Linked DNA regions of Xenopus tropicalis. The protein of the gene in region 3 purifies or fractionates together with the protein of the main gene of each other region. This does not show direct contact. Links are inferred from orthologs where the notes say so. Each region holds a gene or a part of one and is shown on either strand. Other genes may lie near its edges. The genes, in order: fbxw7, fbxo45, mycbp2 and skp1.

Region 1 (3,567 bases), on a different chromosome or scaffold from region 3:
CTTCACCCTAAAGGTTAAGACACCTGGCCTAACTGGTGAGGTGACATTATAGTTTCAGGTTGTCATTCACTGGTCATATTCATTGAGGGATTGGGGACAGTGATCTTTGTTTCTTTCTGCTACAATAGTGATACAGGAGCCCTTCTTCTGTCTGCCCCGCCCCAGGCCCAATACAGAATAAATAAAAGGTAGCCTGGGCAACTTGATACTGACTAAACACTAGGATTTGCAGTCTTTGGATTTTGTGCTGAAGCAGCTTATTTTTGGACCTGTATCTGTATCTAAATAGCAGTAGGAGCACATAACATGACAGGTGCATAATTATGTATTTTACAGTGTCTGAGAACACTTGTTGGGCACACGGGTGGTGTCTGGTCGTCGCAAATGAGAGACAACATCATTATTAGCGGTTCTACAGATCGGACATTGAAAGTATGGAATGCTGAGACCGGGGAATGTATACACACTCTATATGGCCATACCTCCACTGTGCGATGTATGCATCTCCATGAGAAAAGGTCAGTATGTATGTTGCTAACAGGGAAATGTTAAATAAAAATGTCACTTATTACTTGTGTCAGTTCCTAATGCTAGCCAGACATGGGCCACGTTACAGGCCATCTAGCAGATCGTAGTACATGATTTGGGTGGTTAAACACATTTCCAGAGCAGCTGATTAGCCTTTTCACACACTAAATAGTGTTCTGTTGTTTGTGTTTTAGCTAACTGCCAAACATACACTAACCAGTAATGTTAATGTTGGTATTCATTACTGGCTGGTCCACTGGAACTTTTTAAATCGCCCCATGTATCTTCGCCCTTAGTATGTTGTATGATGTAGACAGCACTATTCAGCTTGCTATTAATTAGATTTTTTAGTATTACGGGGTTTGAATCATTTAGAATTTTTGTTTTGGGGCTTAGAATTTGCTAGGGGTTTATTACCTTAGCAACCATGTTCCAAGTACTTTGAAAGTCACAATGAAAGATTAGTAGGAGAAGGGACATGGAGCAACCGGCATTCTGTCACTGCGTGAACAGGTTGCAAAAAGCTCTAAATCACTATTCCCCACCAGTAAACTTTGAGTTAAAGCCCGTGGTGGTGTTTTTATGCAGACATATACTGAAACATAGTTTCAAACAACAATTGCCTTTACAAAATTGAGCGCTTTTATGCGATTTTTATTCATAGTTAATAGAAGGGTGTTTTGTCCTCTACCTAAGAAGCTACAAAACACTTGAAGTGATTTTAAAGCATTTTGGTTACCCTAGTGCCATTATCCATCCTTAGAAAAAATTAACATACAAAATAAATAATGAAGACCAATTGAAAAGTTTCTTAGAATTGGTTTATCTATAACATACTTAAGGTTAATATAAAGGGGAATGTCACTTTTAATTATTAGAGAACTTTTATGGCTGATATCCCTGGGAAGTCATGTGGCGACATTCCAGCCACAAAAGCAAAGAATATATTTTGCATGTATGTGCACATTCCAGCCTGTTAATAAGTATACACTGAGCATTTATAAAACAGAAATGGAACATTAGTGCCAAGGGAAGGCTTTAAAGGGTGGGGGAACTTTAATAATAAGTAATCGGAAAGCAACTTTACATTCCTTTACAAAGGAATTTTACTTTCATTTATTCTTTATGTATTTATGTCATGCCGGTTTCTTTATTTAAGCATGCTACAAGGTAACATATCTGTTCTTGTGTGTCATCCTGCAGGGTTGTGAGCGGTTCACGAGATGCCACCCTTCGAGTATGGGATATTGAGACTGGCCAGTGCTTGCATGTTCTGATGGGGCATGTTGCAGCGGTCCGATGTGTTCAGTATGATGGCCGAAGGGTTGTCAGTGGAGCTTATGACTTCATGGTGAAAGTTTGGGATCCCGAGACAGAGACCTGTTTACACACACTTCAAGGCCACACTAACAGAGTCTATTCCTTACAGGTAGAGACTGGGTGTCATTGTTACTCCATCCTGAATACTGTATGTGAGCTCTGCATGCTCGTTCATTCATTTTAAATATATTAGTTATAATGAATGGGGGACATACCTAATATATTTAAAAAGAAAGGAATTTTACTATCCTCTGCTGTTCAAGCAGTAATGTTACAATTTATGCATTTCTGCAGGTTTTTGCCTTTTGTGTCATTTATATGTTAATCCATTAAAGGTTTTTTATAAATGCATTCATTAATCTTTCTATTATAAAATGCTGCTTAAGAATTTAAGACCAGGGCACATTCCCCCAACATAAATGTAGGTCATTCCATAATAATTTCTATTTACTTTGCCTTGGGCTGTTTGTTATATGCACTCTCGCTTCTTGCTCTTTTTTTTCCCTGTCAGCAGAAATGCCCCCTGGTTATAAGTAGCTTCTTACTGTTTAGCAATTGGTTGTGCTCTTGTAGGTCTCTAATTACTCCTGTTAATGCTGAATAGTTCCTTCTAATTTCATTTGATCTCACAAAAAGGAAACCCAGAGTATCATCAGTTTTTCTGAGTCATATATCCTATTGCTTTGATTGATTAGTTTATTAACTAGGAAATCATTAAAGACAGTCGCAGCTCATCCCACACATAGGACCAAGTCTGTATCTGCTGTGTTAGGCACGGGCAACTATAAGAGAATTGCTTAAGTTGTATTGACGTACTTGTGTTGTATTAGCTAGTATCCAGGGTAACAGGGGTACCAAGGACTTACATGCTATATTTCTGAACACATTTAAGATATATTATCAGTACATTGCTCCGTGTGTGTGATCATCTGAAGGTCAGTCAAGCTTATGGGAAGCTTCTTGAAAACAATAGTTGATCATCTTGTTAAAAAAAAAAAAATATCAATACAACAACAGATATTGGCAGCGTAGGTTCTTTTGTAGATGAGGGGGATGCTGTTCTAGAACAATACTCCCCTATACTCACACCCTAAACAATCTGTGTCAGCAGGCAAACACAATGACTTTGCAGTTTTTAGAGCTCATCTTTAGGTATGTTACTGCTGTACATGTCATTTTAACTGACTTTTTTTTTCCCTCCACTGCAGTTTGACGGCATTCATGTAGTAAGTGGTTCCCTGGATACCTCAATAAGGGTTTGGGATGTGGAGACTGGGAATTGTATCCACACACTGACCGGACATCAATCCTTAACTAGCGGAATGGAGCTGAAGGATAACATTTTAGTCTCGGGAAACGCAGATTCTACTGTTAAAATATGGGACATAAAAACAGGACAGTGTTTACAGACATTGCAAGGTGAGAGCCCAGTTTAATCTGTTTTGCACAGGAACTATTGCCTGAGGTGAAGCTATTAACCTGGAGACTTGAGTTAACTGTGCATTTCTTTTATTTTCCATAGAACTGGTGCTATATACCTATTATACCCTTTTGTTTTATAAACCTTTTACTCTAATATACATGCTTATACCTTAAATAAGATAATGTGTAAATTGTAATCAATGTTTAAAAAATGTTTTTCAGAGTAGATTTTGTTCTCCCTTCTTGTTAGTGAGATATTTACTGGTGGAACAATGAGTTCTCTAAATCTTGCATGTT
Region 2 (4,066 bases), on a different chromosome or scaffold from region 3:
ACTCAATGGCACTCTGCAGCTCCAACCCGGCCCAAGGAAAGTCTCCCATAGGGCTCAATGGCACTCTGCAGCTCCAACCCGGCCCAAGGAAAGTCTCCCATAGGGCTCAATGGCACTCTGCAGCTCCAACCTGGCCCAAGAAAAGTCACCATACTGAAGCTTGAATGAATCCGAATCTTTAGTACTTGGCGCGAAGGCTACGAAAAAGTTGTGACTTTTCGCGCAAGTAGTAACGCTACGAAAAAATCGCCAGATTTTGCGCAACATTCGGAATGGCAACAAAAAAGTCGCGACAATTTTCCGAAAAATCGCCAAATACCGATCATTACGAAAAAAACGCAATCGGACGCATTCAGCCCGTTTGTGAGTAAGTAAATGTGCCCCTATAATAGTGATTTAAAGTCAAATTAAAAATTCAACTTGGTTGCAGAGCTTTTCTGGCCACTTTTGTGATATACTGGCCCCTTTAGTTCAGCAGCTTTCATACCTTCCTTCCATACATCTAATTCATTCTTGGCTATGTGCCACACAGTGTGTTCAGGTCAGGATACAAAATGTTGTGTTTTCACAGAAAGTTCCTTGTGCGCACCACAATATGTTGTGTAACCCAACGGGATAACTAAACTAAATAACTGGTCAAGTTAGACTTCAAATTTCCCTTTGACTGTGTTATTTACTTAAACAAAAAAAACAGATTTGGGTTCAATAAATGTAGAGATTTCTGTGGCATTTCTATTGAGGTGAGTGTATAACGGTACAGCAGTTATCAGCCATATACAGACAGGCAATGATTGATTATTAAGGTTGTGGGCCTGGGGCAGGGCTCGGTGCAGCCATGCAGCATGTTTCTGCAATGATAGCGAAGCCTTAGCCACATGAAATGGGGTTCCTGCCAGTGCAGACTGAGACACCCAGCAGCTACAAAATATAGACCCGTGTAAATATTAGTAAGCAGATCTGCACATTTCATATCTAATACACATAAGGAACTTGCCAGAAAGGCAATCTATACACTTTCAAGCACGCTTTTACCTCACAGCAGGCACTCTAATGCCCGATATAGCAACCTCCTCAGGCAGCTCCTTTCTACCGCTCCTCTGATTGGTAAGCGCTTAGGAATAGGAGCACGTGGGGTCCATACTAAGCAGCTATTGGCTGCAAGTAGGTCAGGTGGAGAAAGTGCAGAAACCAGGAAGCGTCCTCATTTTTAGTGGACCCTAGCGATAATTGGTTGAGCGTTCGGGAACCCCTTCTCCTTAGTCTGATTGGCTGGGCATGACGTGATGCATAGGGCCGGAGCCGGCGCTGGTTGATGAGGTGTCTGTGTGGAGGCCGGTGAAGCGTCGCTGCCTGGAATACGGAGGGTATGGCGGCAGCAGCTATTAATGCTGCTGCACCTCCTCCTCCGGTGGCTCCAACAGCACCTCCTCCTCCTCCGCCGCCGCCGCTGAGTCAGGCTTCGGGTAGGCTGCCTAGCAGGGTGCTCGAACTGGTGTTCTCCTATTTGGACCTGCCTGACCTGCGCAGCTGCGGCCTGGTGTGTAAGCACTGGTACCGCTGTCTGCACGGAGACGAGAACAGTGAAGTGTGGAGGAGTCTGTGCGGCAGAATCGTCAGCGAGGAAGCCTTGCGAACCGACATACTGTGCAACCTGCCGACATACAAGGCAAAGGTGGGGCTGCCATTCCCCTGCTTGCTGTGCCCTGCCGCATGAATGGATAATATACCCTGCCTGGGCTTTACTCTCTTCCTATATATACTCTGGGGAGCCTGTGCGCACACTTACCGGGGATCGAAAGCTGCCTAAATAATTCTGCCTAATGAAAGAACATTCATTTTCTAATCACCAATATACATTTATTTAAACAAAAAATCGCTGGGTATTTGTAAATACAATGGTATTATATGTCCCTTAATGCTTTGCTGCTACAGATTTTAACTTATCTTGGGGTTTACATCCCCCTTAATGCTGATCTGAATTAAAATCAGATCCTACACGTTCAGATTTTAGTCTTCTTCCAACGAATGTTCAGATATCGATCATGAGTTTAAATGCAACAATCTAACATTCACATTGAAATTGTAGGATATAGTCCTAAGAATATTAAATTGGAGGAAATTCTGAATATAACATAGCTGTCAGACATCAATCGTACAAACGTGACTTCCTGGAATTGCATTGTAGGCCCGCAATACACAATACATGCACAGACTGGCGGATTGACTAAACCGCTATGGTACGAAAATCTTGGTAAAACATATGTGTGTTCAGCCAACTTTAAGGGGAATATCATAATGGCAAATGGTTTTACAATACTGATGCCTACATATTTTATAGGTATTAAGGTGAACTACTAAGTCTGGTCTCCCATGGATAATTATTAATTCTTCATTCATTAGAATAGCTGTACTAAGCAGGGACTGCAGACCCATTGGGTGGACAAAAGTCTCAATGTTAACATCCTCTTTAATGTGCATTTCTTATATTGGGGCTTGTGTTTGTGTCTAAATGCATTTCTTTACATGCCATTTCTTGCAGATGCGGGCCTTTCAGCATGGATTCAGTTCAAGTGACTGCTCCAGAAATGTCTACATTAAGAAAAATGGTTTCACCCTTCACCGAAACCCCATAGCACAGAGTACAGATGGAGCACGCACCAAAATCGGCTTCAGTGAAGGTCGTCACGCATGGGAAGTGTGGTGGGAAGGCCCTTTGGGAACAGTTGCTGTAATAGGAATAGCTACAAAACGGGCACCTATGCAGTGTCAGGGGTATGTGGCACTCCTGGGCAGTGATGACCAAAGCTGGGGCTGGAATCTTGTGGATAACAATTTGTTGCATAATGGGGAGGTAAACGGTAGCTTCCCCCAGTGCAATAATGCCCCAAAATACCAGGTGAGTTTATCCAATTATGATTTTAAAAGGGTAGTTCAACTTGTTAGCATATCCCATGTAGTAGTTTTAATTGATTTTTATTTTTTTCCTTTCTAGGCTTTAAAAAGGAATGTTTCTAGTTTATTTTCTAGATCTCTAACTTCCTAAACTGCTATATCTCATACTCTAGTATTGATACAGTTTTCAGCAGCATTAAAAAAAAAAAAATAGCAGCAATTATCAGTTTTACAATTGGGTTGTTACAGACTATTAGTTGGGGCTGAGCAATGTGTCGACTGATGTATCAGATGTCTTTGACGTTTTTCATTCATCCAGGTCTAGTAGTGAGACGTTTAAAGGTGGCAACACACGTAGCAATAACCATCTTTCATGCGACTATTGGTCACAGGAAAGATCGTTCCCACCCTCCACTGACATTCAGGGCTGAATTGTCAGATATGGAGGAAGAAACAATAGGAATTCTACCTCCTTCTGCCGATTCTGCCCTAAATGTAGATTTTGCTTGGGCGCCTTTTAACCTGGCCAAGTGAAGAGGCGTCTGATATCCGCCTTTGCAATATTGGTTGCCTCTTCATGCCGCCATACACGCACCGAATATATTACAAAACAAGGTTTGGATGATGATGTATGGCCGGCTTAAAACAACTGGAATGGTGATTGTTTTTTTCACTGGTTTGCTACTGAGAAACATGAGAGTGGAAACCAAAACTATTTTGTTATTAAAACTTGCATTTCTGGAAAATGTTCAAAAATAGAGGAGTTGTGCGACTGTGCAAAAATAAGTTCTGTATGGATGAACTACCCCCTTGAACATAATTTTAATCAGATTGTTTTTAAAAGGCAGTGCTTTTTGGCTTGAGCTAAAATAGTGCAGTAAAAGATGTGTATCCAAGTATAGTATAAATGCCTATTTTTATTTTGCCAAAAGAGCATCTGTGTAAGGTTTTAGTTTTACCTTTTTCCTTCATCTCCCTCCTCCCACCTATAATTAGAGTGGTTAAATAAAAATAATGATCTCTGTATAAATATTCCTATCCATTTTCTCATCTGCATCACATGTTTTAGGTTTACAGATAAGGAAGAGTTATATAGGGGGTTTAGGGCTGTGGCACACGGGGAGATTAGTCGCCCGTGACAAATCTCCCTTGTCGCAGGCGACTAATCTCCCCG
Region 3 (3,567 bases):
AAGTACAGCACAGTGATTATTACCCCTAAGTCCCGAGAATTGTCTATGTGAACAGAAACATAACGAGTGTTTATGCCTTTCACACAGTTTATCGTTATGCTTTTGGTTTTATTTTTATCTTCATCTCCTGACTCCCAAAATGTTTCTGTTGATCCATCAGTCAGACTTCCAATCATGGCTGGTCTGCTGGAAGTCTTTATATCCACAATGCTTGTCATATCTTTTAAGCCAGTTACCAAGCAGGATCCCTGTAAGAAAAAATGGAATTTAACAATACTAAAAGGAGTATAACATGACAATGTAAAAGAAGATCACTTGACAAAAACTGACACCGCTATATGCATTTTTTATTATTGTCTCATGCCCCCTGTACCACTTACCTTAGCAATTATGCATTTAATGGTAAATGTGACCATAATACTTTTAAATTATTTTGAATTACTTTTAAAATAATCATTGCTGCTATTATTAGTGGGCATGTTGTAAATGTCTATGTGCTACTTATTGCAACCAAATTCACAAGAATTATGAGCAAGAACTACATAACTAACTATATTGTGTTGACAAACCAATGAGATACATTGATTCTGTCATGATTTTTATGATATAGTTTTTATTACTATACTACACTGTTCACATTGCAAATTATTAATTCTACCATTTAAAATGTAATATTGGTGTGTAGGCAGCCATCTCAGTGCATTGTGTCTGATCTTGCACTTTCATAAAAAGCCAGCACTGCGCAACAGAACTGCTTGCAGGTAACTATTGTTTCTCCTACTCAATGTAACTGGAGGAGTCATGGGTTGTTTGTTTTACTATTGAGTGCTATTCTTATATCTACCACTTGGTGGGGCATGGGAGCATTTTTAGCAATGCAGGTGTCAGGGAGTGGTTACCTTTCTATTGTTCTGCTGATCGGCTGCTGGGGGGGTGGGAGGGGGGGTGATAGCACTCTAACTTGCAGCAGTTAAGTGTGATTGAAGTTTACCAGAGAACAGGTCACATGGCTAAAGGCACCTGGGACACTAAGAATATGTCAAGCCCCACATCAGATTTCAAAATTAAAAAAAAAAATTCTCTTAGTAAAAAGCATGTTCTACCTCAACAGAATCCCTATAAATCATTTTATTTCTATTATGCTGTTTTGTCTCACAACTAACATTATTTTAACATCGGGACTGTACACTGTTGAAACTTGCCTCAAATCCAGACTGCACACTGATGTTAAAACTCTCCTCACTGTCTCCATCATCTGACTTGGAGAGAATGTTATTAATATGACGAAATACATTACTCTGATGTAGAAACTGGTGGTCTGATTGCTTGAATTTCAGACTCCAACATCTGAAAAAAACGGATAAAACAAAGGGGCATAAATATTTGATCAAACATTTTAGTAAAAGGTATGAAACAATATTAGCTGAAAGCATTAAAAGAAATTAATAACTGCAAGCAGCTTCTTTGCAAGACCCGTGGCTTAATAAACATTAAATCAATGTCTAATGTATAATGCTCTTAACTCTCCCAAAAGTTAATATATTTTTTAGTGTCTGTGCCTGTTTTTACCCAACTCTAGCAACCAGCGTAAGCTCAAGTGGGCAAATGTACACTCAACCTGCAGATCGGTGTCATGCATTTACTGTATATACACTGTAACTGCTTTATCCGTAACCAGTTCTGCTCACCACCACCCCATTGTAAGTAATGTTTTCCGACACTGGAACTGATGTCATCATAACTTGGAGATGGTTTCATTTGAGACCCACTGACCTGCCCCCAATACCTAACTACACAATTCTGACACAACCCAGTTTAAACTACAACAAAGACTCTGCATACATCACTGTTATACCATTAATACACAGTAATGGGTCTTTACCTCAGTGCCATCTGTTGCAAGGAACTACCCCCAGGAAGAGACATCATCAGGTCCGAAATGGTCTGTAGAAGACGATGAAATGTGTCTGGCAAGGGATGTGCTGCTTCCCCAGCAATAACTATGTCTGACAATGGGTGTTCACATACTCTTGTGTCTTTTTCCTTAAAAAAAAATTATACTATATATTATATATATATATATATATATGTGTGTGTATATGCATCTGTGTGGCTCACAAGTACAAATGATTGGGGATCCCTGTCCTAGGGTGTCTGGGGGCCAATCTTGAATGCCATTTAAGCATTCTCCCCCAGATCTGTTTTGCACTTTGAAAGTTGGCTTTGCTGCTCTGATCTTGTGTTTTTTTGCAAGCTGAGAGAAGGGGATTCACTCTCTTATGCACCTCAGTACACTGTACTGACAATTACAGCTTCCGCTTGGCTACACAAGGCGGAGCTGAGCAGAGATTGGCCTAAAAATGTCTTGCCTTCTAGTTTTTGGGCCAATTCCCGCTCAGCTCTACTTTGTGTAGCCAAGCAGAGGCAGAAGTTGTACTTGTCAGTGCAGTTTTACGGAGGTGCATAAGGGAGTAGTGCCCCATGGGCAGTGATTTGAGATTTAGGGGCAAATTTAGCAAAGTGTGAAATTAGAGCTCCATACAGAAAAATTACCCCACTTTCTATCCATTTATCAAATGGTGAAGTCTAACTTTTACCCATTGGTAAATATGTTTGATAATCTTGATATTATCACATAATGGCTGATATTTACAAAACAATTTGACATAATTATTTAACCCTCTTTATTTCTGTAGATTGTATGTTTTATAGTATGTGGCCTAAAGGACCTGACTGCCAATGATGAGCAACTTAAGTATCTAGGTTACTACTTGAGCTGTGCTGTTCCACATGGTATCTGGCAAAACATGGTGTAATAAGATCAGAAAGACAATGTGGGTAAGAGGTTAAAATCAATTTAAAAATAGTGCATAGGATTCCCTGAGTTTCTAGTTATGCCAGACTGAAATACCAGAGAGAGGAACATTAAAATTTAAAAATAAATTATATAAGTTAACTGAAAAAAAAAGTAATTTCTGGTGTACTATCTGCAAACAACTGGACTAAAAAAATGTTTGGAAGGTGAACATGCCCTTTAAACCTCCATTTTTGTTTAATGCAAAACAATGACATTCTACACAAATTTCTTTTGTCTGTTTTTGACTCCTGAAACTTAGCAAAAATAAGAAAGAAGCGTGTATTGTTTCAATAGCAAAAATATTTACAAATAAACTCAAAGCCGTTGATAATTTGTAGTTTGCATTCCCTTTTTAGACTACAGACTGTACCTGTTCAGCGTTTTCCTTGTTAGCTTTGTTTTCCTCATCCTCATCTTCTTCTGGTTCCACTGGAGCAGGAGTTAGGGAGGCCACAAAATGCCATAAGATATCATGGAGAGATGTTGTCTGAATGACATTACAAAGCAGCCAATTGAAAGCCTACAAAAAAAAAAAAAGTTATGGAAATGCGCTGAAGTGCATGTGTGTGTGACACCCTGTTAGGACAAACCTCCTACCTTAACACATATTTAAATATGTAATTGTACTTCTCCTACACTGCACCAACTGTTGATGTCCCTGTTATGGTAATGCAACAACCAGACAACTCACCAAATAAAAATAGTGAGTA
Region 4 (4,215 bases), on a different chromosome or scaffold from region 3:
AATTAAACAGTATATTTGTTTACCTGGGCACAGTGGACTCTCACATGGAACTTGTAGGGGATCAGTCACCGTTTTGAAATATCCACTATTATAGAGCAAAAGGAAATTGGTCAAACAATAATAAAATGGCATTTCCAAAAGCTTTCTTGATAATGAGTCTCCTTAATCTAGATCCCATACCTGTAAGATTAAAAATGTGCTTAACTACACAATTAAGATTTCAAGTACACTCTGTCCCCTCTAAGATATTTAATAACCAGTCCTCTTTTTAACAGAATATGGTAATTCCTATTGCCTTGTGCTGTTAGTCACTCTGCTCTGTATGTTGCTGTCTAGGCCAAACTTCTGTTATTTTAATTCATAAAGCCTTTGTTTAAAATGAGGCTGAGTGAAAAGCATGGCTCAGGGATAGCAAATGTCCTCTCTGTAATTGGCTGTATGTCAACTATTGATGTACAGATTCTTTTTCTGGGCAGGATGGGCAAATGGCCTCTAATGCAGATTTGGAGCTTGGCAATTGCCATTATCCTGGCTGCTATTGGCAAAGTCATACTGCAGCAGTAAAATGACACCCTTTGTTGGTAATTACTTTGTTCTGCTTCCATAGTTATACCTGCTCAGTAAGTCTTTCCCACATCATATATGCCAGAGACACTTTCCCTTTGTGTACTGCGTGCACACTAATGGTGGCCAGTGTTAACAAGGGTTCATCCATCTCCAGCTGTCCAGCCATTTGCAGTCGGCTGTTAAAGGAGCAGTGCCAGGTTGACAGCTGTTAGAATTTAGTGCATTTTCCCAATTCCTGCACAGCTCTCTGAAAATTGCAGAGTACCGGTAATTGCACATTCCGGATGAGACCCAAAGCTTTTAGCTCCTTATTCTCTTCCTGGTAGTGGAGGGCAGGGTGCTGGCAACAGTTGGCAGGCCCCTTCTTATTCCTACTAGCTGCAGCTTCTTCCCTTTGCTCATTAGGCCGTGCCAGACCACTGTATATTGCACAGTTGGTGTGGGTCTTGGGCAGAGACTGAAGCAACCAGGCACCAGGGCTGTTGTATAGATGATTATTTTTATTGGCCCTGCCTTACTGACAACCAGGGCATGAAACATGATGTTTGCATTTCATTAAAGCAGAAGGAAAGGTATAGTCACTGGGGGGGTGGTTGCCATGTTAGCCACTCTGTGATTCTACTTGCCTACAATGGCCTGCAGTGCACTTGCTGTGCTTGCTGCCATTTTGTTCCCATGTCTCTCCTGCTCACCATGCTTAAATGTGCTTCAGTGCAGCATCTTGAGTTTCACAGCTGCCTTCCTGATCATCTCTCATTGAAAGTACCAATTGATTTTCTTTCTGTTTTGCTTGCAGTAACTTCACTAAGCAGTACTGTTTGTGTTGATTAATGTGTTTTTGTTTTTCAGATGCCTTCTATAAAGCTGCAGAGTTCTGATGGAGAGATTTTTGAAGTGGATGTTGAAATTGCAAAGCAGTCAGTAACAATTAAAACTATGTTGGAAGGTACTTTTTAAAAAAAAATTCTTTGAATATGTATTCTTTATAATTTTGTCCTCTGGTGTGCAGGTCTTCATTTGTTTTTATTCTCCTAGCTTTGAAAGTGTTGGTGTAAAGGCACATTGGGCAATTGAGTGGATTCTCTCCAAAAGCAATCCCTTTACAGAAACAATATTGCTGGGAATTTTTCTTCTATGTAGCATTTGCATGACCTTTGAGTGCACCTGGGTGAACAGACATTTGCAATTGAAATGTCAGGGGTAATTCCAATCATTTTGTCATCCACTTTCAAATTGGGAAATTTCTTGGGTTTGTGGAGGATTATCTTTTTAGGTAGTAGCTCCTTTTACACTGATAAGAGACAGGTACACAGGGTACTTTAGAAAACATTGTTTGTACAATCCAGGATTTGGAAATGATGGAATAAGGGCTTTTTATTAAAAAAAAAAAAAGTTTTGGTGCTGTTCACTACATAACAGGTACACAGCGTTTCAAACTACTCATAACAGCAGTGATCCCAATATAACAAATAAGTAGCAGTCTTGCTGAAAAAAAATTGTCCTCAGAGGAACTGGTTGTAATATTTCTGTTGTGTTTAAATTTATTTTGTGTAAATTCTTGAGAAATCTCTTATTTGACTATAGTTTTAGAACATTGCCTTTCTGTCTAAATTATCTTGGGTTTTTTTTTACATTTTTTTGGCAAGACACAGTTATCAATTAAATGTTTTTAAACAGATCTGGGTATGGATGATGAAGGTGATGATGACCCTGTGCCACTTCCCAATGTTAATGCTGCAATCCTTAAAAAAGTAAGTGCTATTTAGGTAGTGGTTTTACGTATACCCATACTAGAATACTGGATGCAGATTAGAGATTGTTTTTTTTTTTTTTAGAGGTGTTGGTTTGCTGCAGGGATATAATGCAATGTAATTAGGACAAAAAAATTGTACCAGATTCAGAATTGTGTTAATTAAAAAGTTGCAACAGCCTCCCCCCCCCCTACACACACACACACACACACATTATTTATATTTGCTTATCACTGCCAGAAGAAGAACTACTTATAAATGCCAGGGTTTTAAGGCATATTGGCAAGTAAAAAAATAAAACTGAACTATTGGTTATTAGGAACTTCATCCTGCTGTTTGGGGTTTCATATTCTTGAGTTATGATGTATACTGTTTCAGACCTAGAAACACTTGCTCTCTAATTCAGGCAGTAGAGGACATTGCTCCTATTTTTGGTTTAGCTCTTCAAGTGTAGGTTGTTACAAGATTTACTTTTTTTTTTTTTTTTTTTTTTACTAGCTTGAATTATATTAACATATAAACAACAAAATGATGAAATTGAACATATCTTAAGTTTAGCAGTACCACATTGTCTTGGATTCAGGACCTGGCCAACAAATGCAGTCAGTTGTATAAATCATAAAGATAAATACCTATGTACTTTTATTTTCATCAGGTCATTCAGTGGTGTACACATCATAAAGATGATCCCCCTCCACCCGAAGACGATGAAAACAAAGAGAAGAGAACAGATGATATCCCTGTGTGGGACCAAGAGTTTTTAAAAGTGGATCAGGGAACACTATTTGAACTGATTTTGGTGAGGCATGCTCACCAAAAAACCCAACAGCTTTTATAGAACCCATTAGAATTACATAAGTGTATTTCTAGTACTTGTACTTAGTAGTATTAATAACCTTAAAGGGAACCTGCAACTTAAAGTACCACACAGTCTGAAGGTATTGCACACACAACACAGCCTGAAGGTAGTGCACACACAACACAGCCAGTAATTATTTGTGTTTTTGTCCGAAAGAGGTAGGAGAGTTGATATTTAAAAACCTTGCCATTAACATGTTCCAACAAAGTGTGCTTGTTCTCCTGCACTTGAGAGGTAAGGGTGAGCCCACATATATGAAACGTTGTGCATAATTTTGTCCTTAGTGGCTTCAATAAAGGCATCCACATGGCATCTGCATGTTGCTTCTGAGCAATATAGTTTTAACACACATAATTTTATTCATACATTAAAACGTGGCTGCCATTTTACTTGTTAACACATAACACAACAGTTACTAGAAATTTATACACTAATTCATAAAAGATTTTTAAAAATTTACATACACATGTCCATATATTCCTCAGTCAGCATAGATTTAACTTCCAAACTGAAAATGGCTGAAACTATTTTTTTTTTTTTCATCTCAATCCTATATACATAAATTACACTTGCATATTCATATGTAGTGCTTATACGCCACTTAAAGCACGTATGATAACTTTTCCTCATAAAATACCCTTCATTAATTTAGAGCGAGTCCAAAAAGAGCTACTATTTCATTAATATCCATTTAAGGATTTGAGACCAATACTGCACTGCATATTCTAGATGGGGCCTTTGCCAGTGTTTTCTAAAGTGGGAATATGTACTTCCCCTCTGAGTCTGTATACCTTGCTGGCTCTTCCTTCCGCTGACTGGCATTGCTTGCTAAAGCTAAGTTTATTTTCCACAAGTCACCCCAGCTCCTTGCATATTTTGGAATGCCACTTAGCAGGCCAGTCTCCCAGTTTGTCCAGTTCCTCCTAAAGGATGCTACATTCTTGGTGGCACTGATTGAGCTGCATAACTTTTGTGTCATTGTCATAAACATATATTGCTTCTAAGCCAATTCATAAGCTTTTCTGCAGTCTATTGGTA

What was found.
Region 1: the proteins of mycbp2 (region 3) and fbxw7 purify together in Homo sapiens (affinity purification with mass spectrometry; 6 studies listed by BioGRID and IntAct, counting the BioPlex papers as one, with this or other methods). This does not show direct contact. The link is inferred for Xenopus tropicalis from reciprocal best matches to the Homo sapiens genes MYCBP2 and FBXW7.
Region 2: the proteins of mycbp2 (region 3) and fbxo45 purify together in Homo sapiens (affinity purification with western blotting; 7 studies listed by BioGRID and IntAct, with this or other methods). This does not show direct contact. The link is inferred for Xenopus tropicalis from reciprocal best matches to the Homo sapiens genes MYCBP2 and FBXO45.
Region 4: the proteins of mycbp2 (region 3) and skp1 purify together in Homo sapiens (affinity purification with mass spectrometry; 4 studies listed by BioGRID and IntAct, with this or other methods). This does not show direct contact. The link is inferred for Xenopus tropicalis from reciprocal best matches to the Homo sapiens genes MYCBP2 and SKP1.

What each region holds. Positions count from the first base shown.
Region 1 is NC_030677.2:55,548,300-55,551,866, forward strand, and holds part of fbxw7 (F-box/WD repeat-containing protein 7), read left to right. Parts: intron 1-336; coding exon 337-518; intron 519-1,731; coding exon 1,732-1,957; intron 1,958-3,056; coding exon 3,057-3,267; intron 3,268-3,567. UniProt on the Homo sapiens protein: Substrate recognition component of a SCF (SKP1-CUL1-F-box protein) E3 ubiquitin-protein ligase complex which mediates the ubiquitination and subsequent proteasomal degradation of target proteins.
Region 2 is NC_030681.2:129,851,929-129,855,994, reverse strand, and holds the start of fbxo45 (F-box/SPRY domain-containing protein 1), read left to right. Parts: upstream 1-1,259; 5' UTR 1,260-1,366; coding exon 1,367-1,672; intron 1,673-2,539; coding exon 2,540-2,896; intron 2,897-4,066. UniProt on the Homo sapiens protein: Component of E3 ubiquitin ligase complex consisting of FBXO45, MYCBP2 and SKP1. Functions in substrate recognition but also plays an important role in assembly of the complex.
Region 3 is NC_030678.2:126,190,612-126,194,178, reverse strand, and holds part of mycbp2 (E3 ubiquitin-protein ligase MYCBP2), read right to left. Parts: intron 3,378-3,567; coding exon 3,228-3,377; intron 2,044-3,227; coding exon 1,883-2,043; intron 1,348-1,882; coding exon 1,203-1,347; intron 249-1,202; coding exon 24-248; intron 1-23. UniProt on the Homo sapiens protein: Atypical E3 ubiquitin-protein ligase which specifically mediates ubiquitination of threonine and serine residues on target proteins, instead of ubiquitinating lysine residues.
Region 4 is NC_030679.2:26,567,473-26,571,687, forward strand, and holds the start of skp1 (S-phase kinase-associated protein 1), read left to right. Parts: upstream 1-1,414; 5' UTR 1,415-1,416; coding exon 1,417-1,513; intron 1,514-2,244; coding exon 2,245-2,318; intron 2,319-2,973; coding exon 2,974-3,117; intron 3,118-4,215. UniProt on the Homo sapiens protein: Essential component of the SCF (SKP1-CUL1-F-box protein) ubiquitin ligase complex, which mediates the ubiquitination of proteins involved in cell cycle progression, signal transduction and transcription.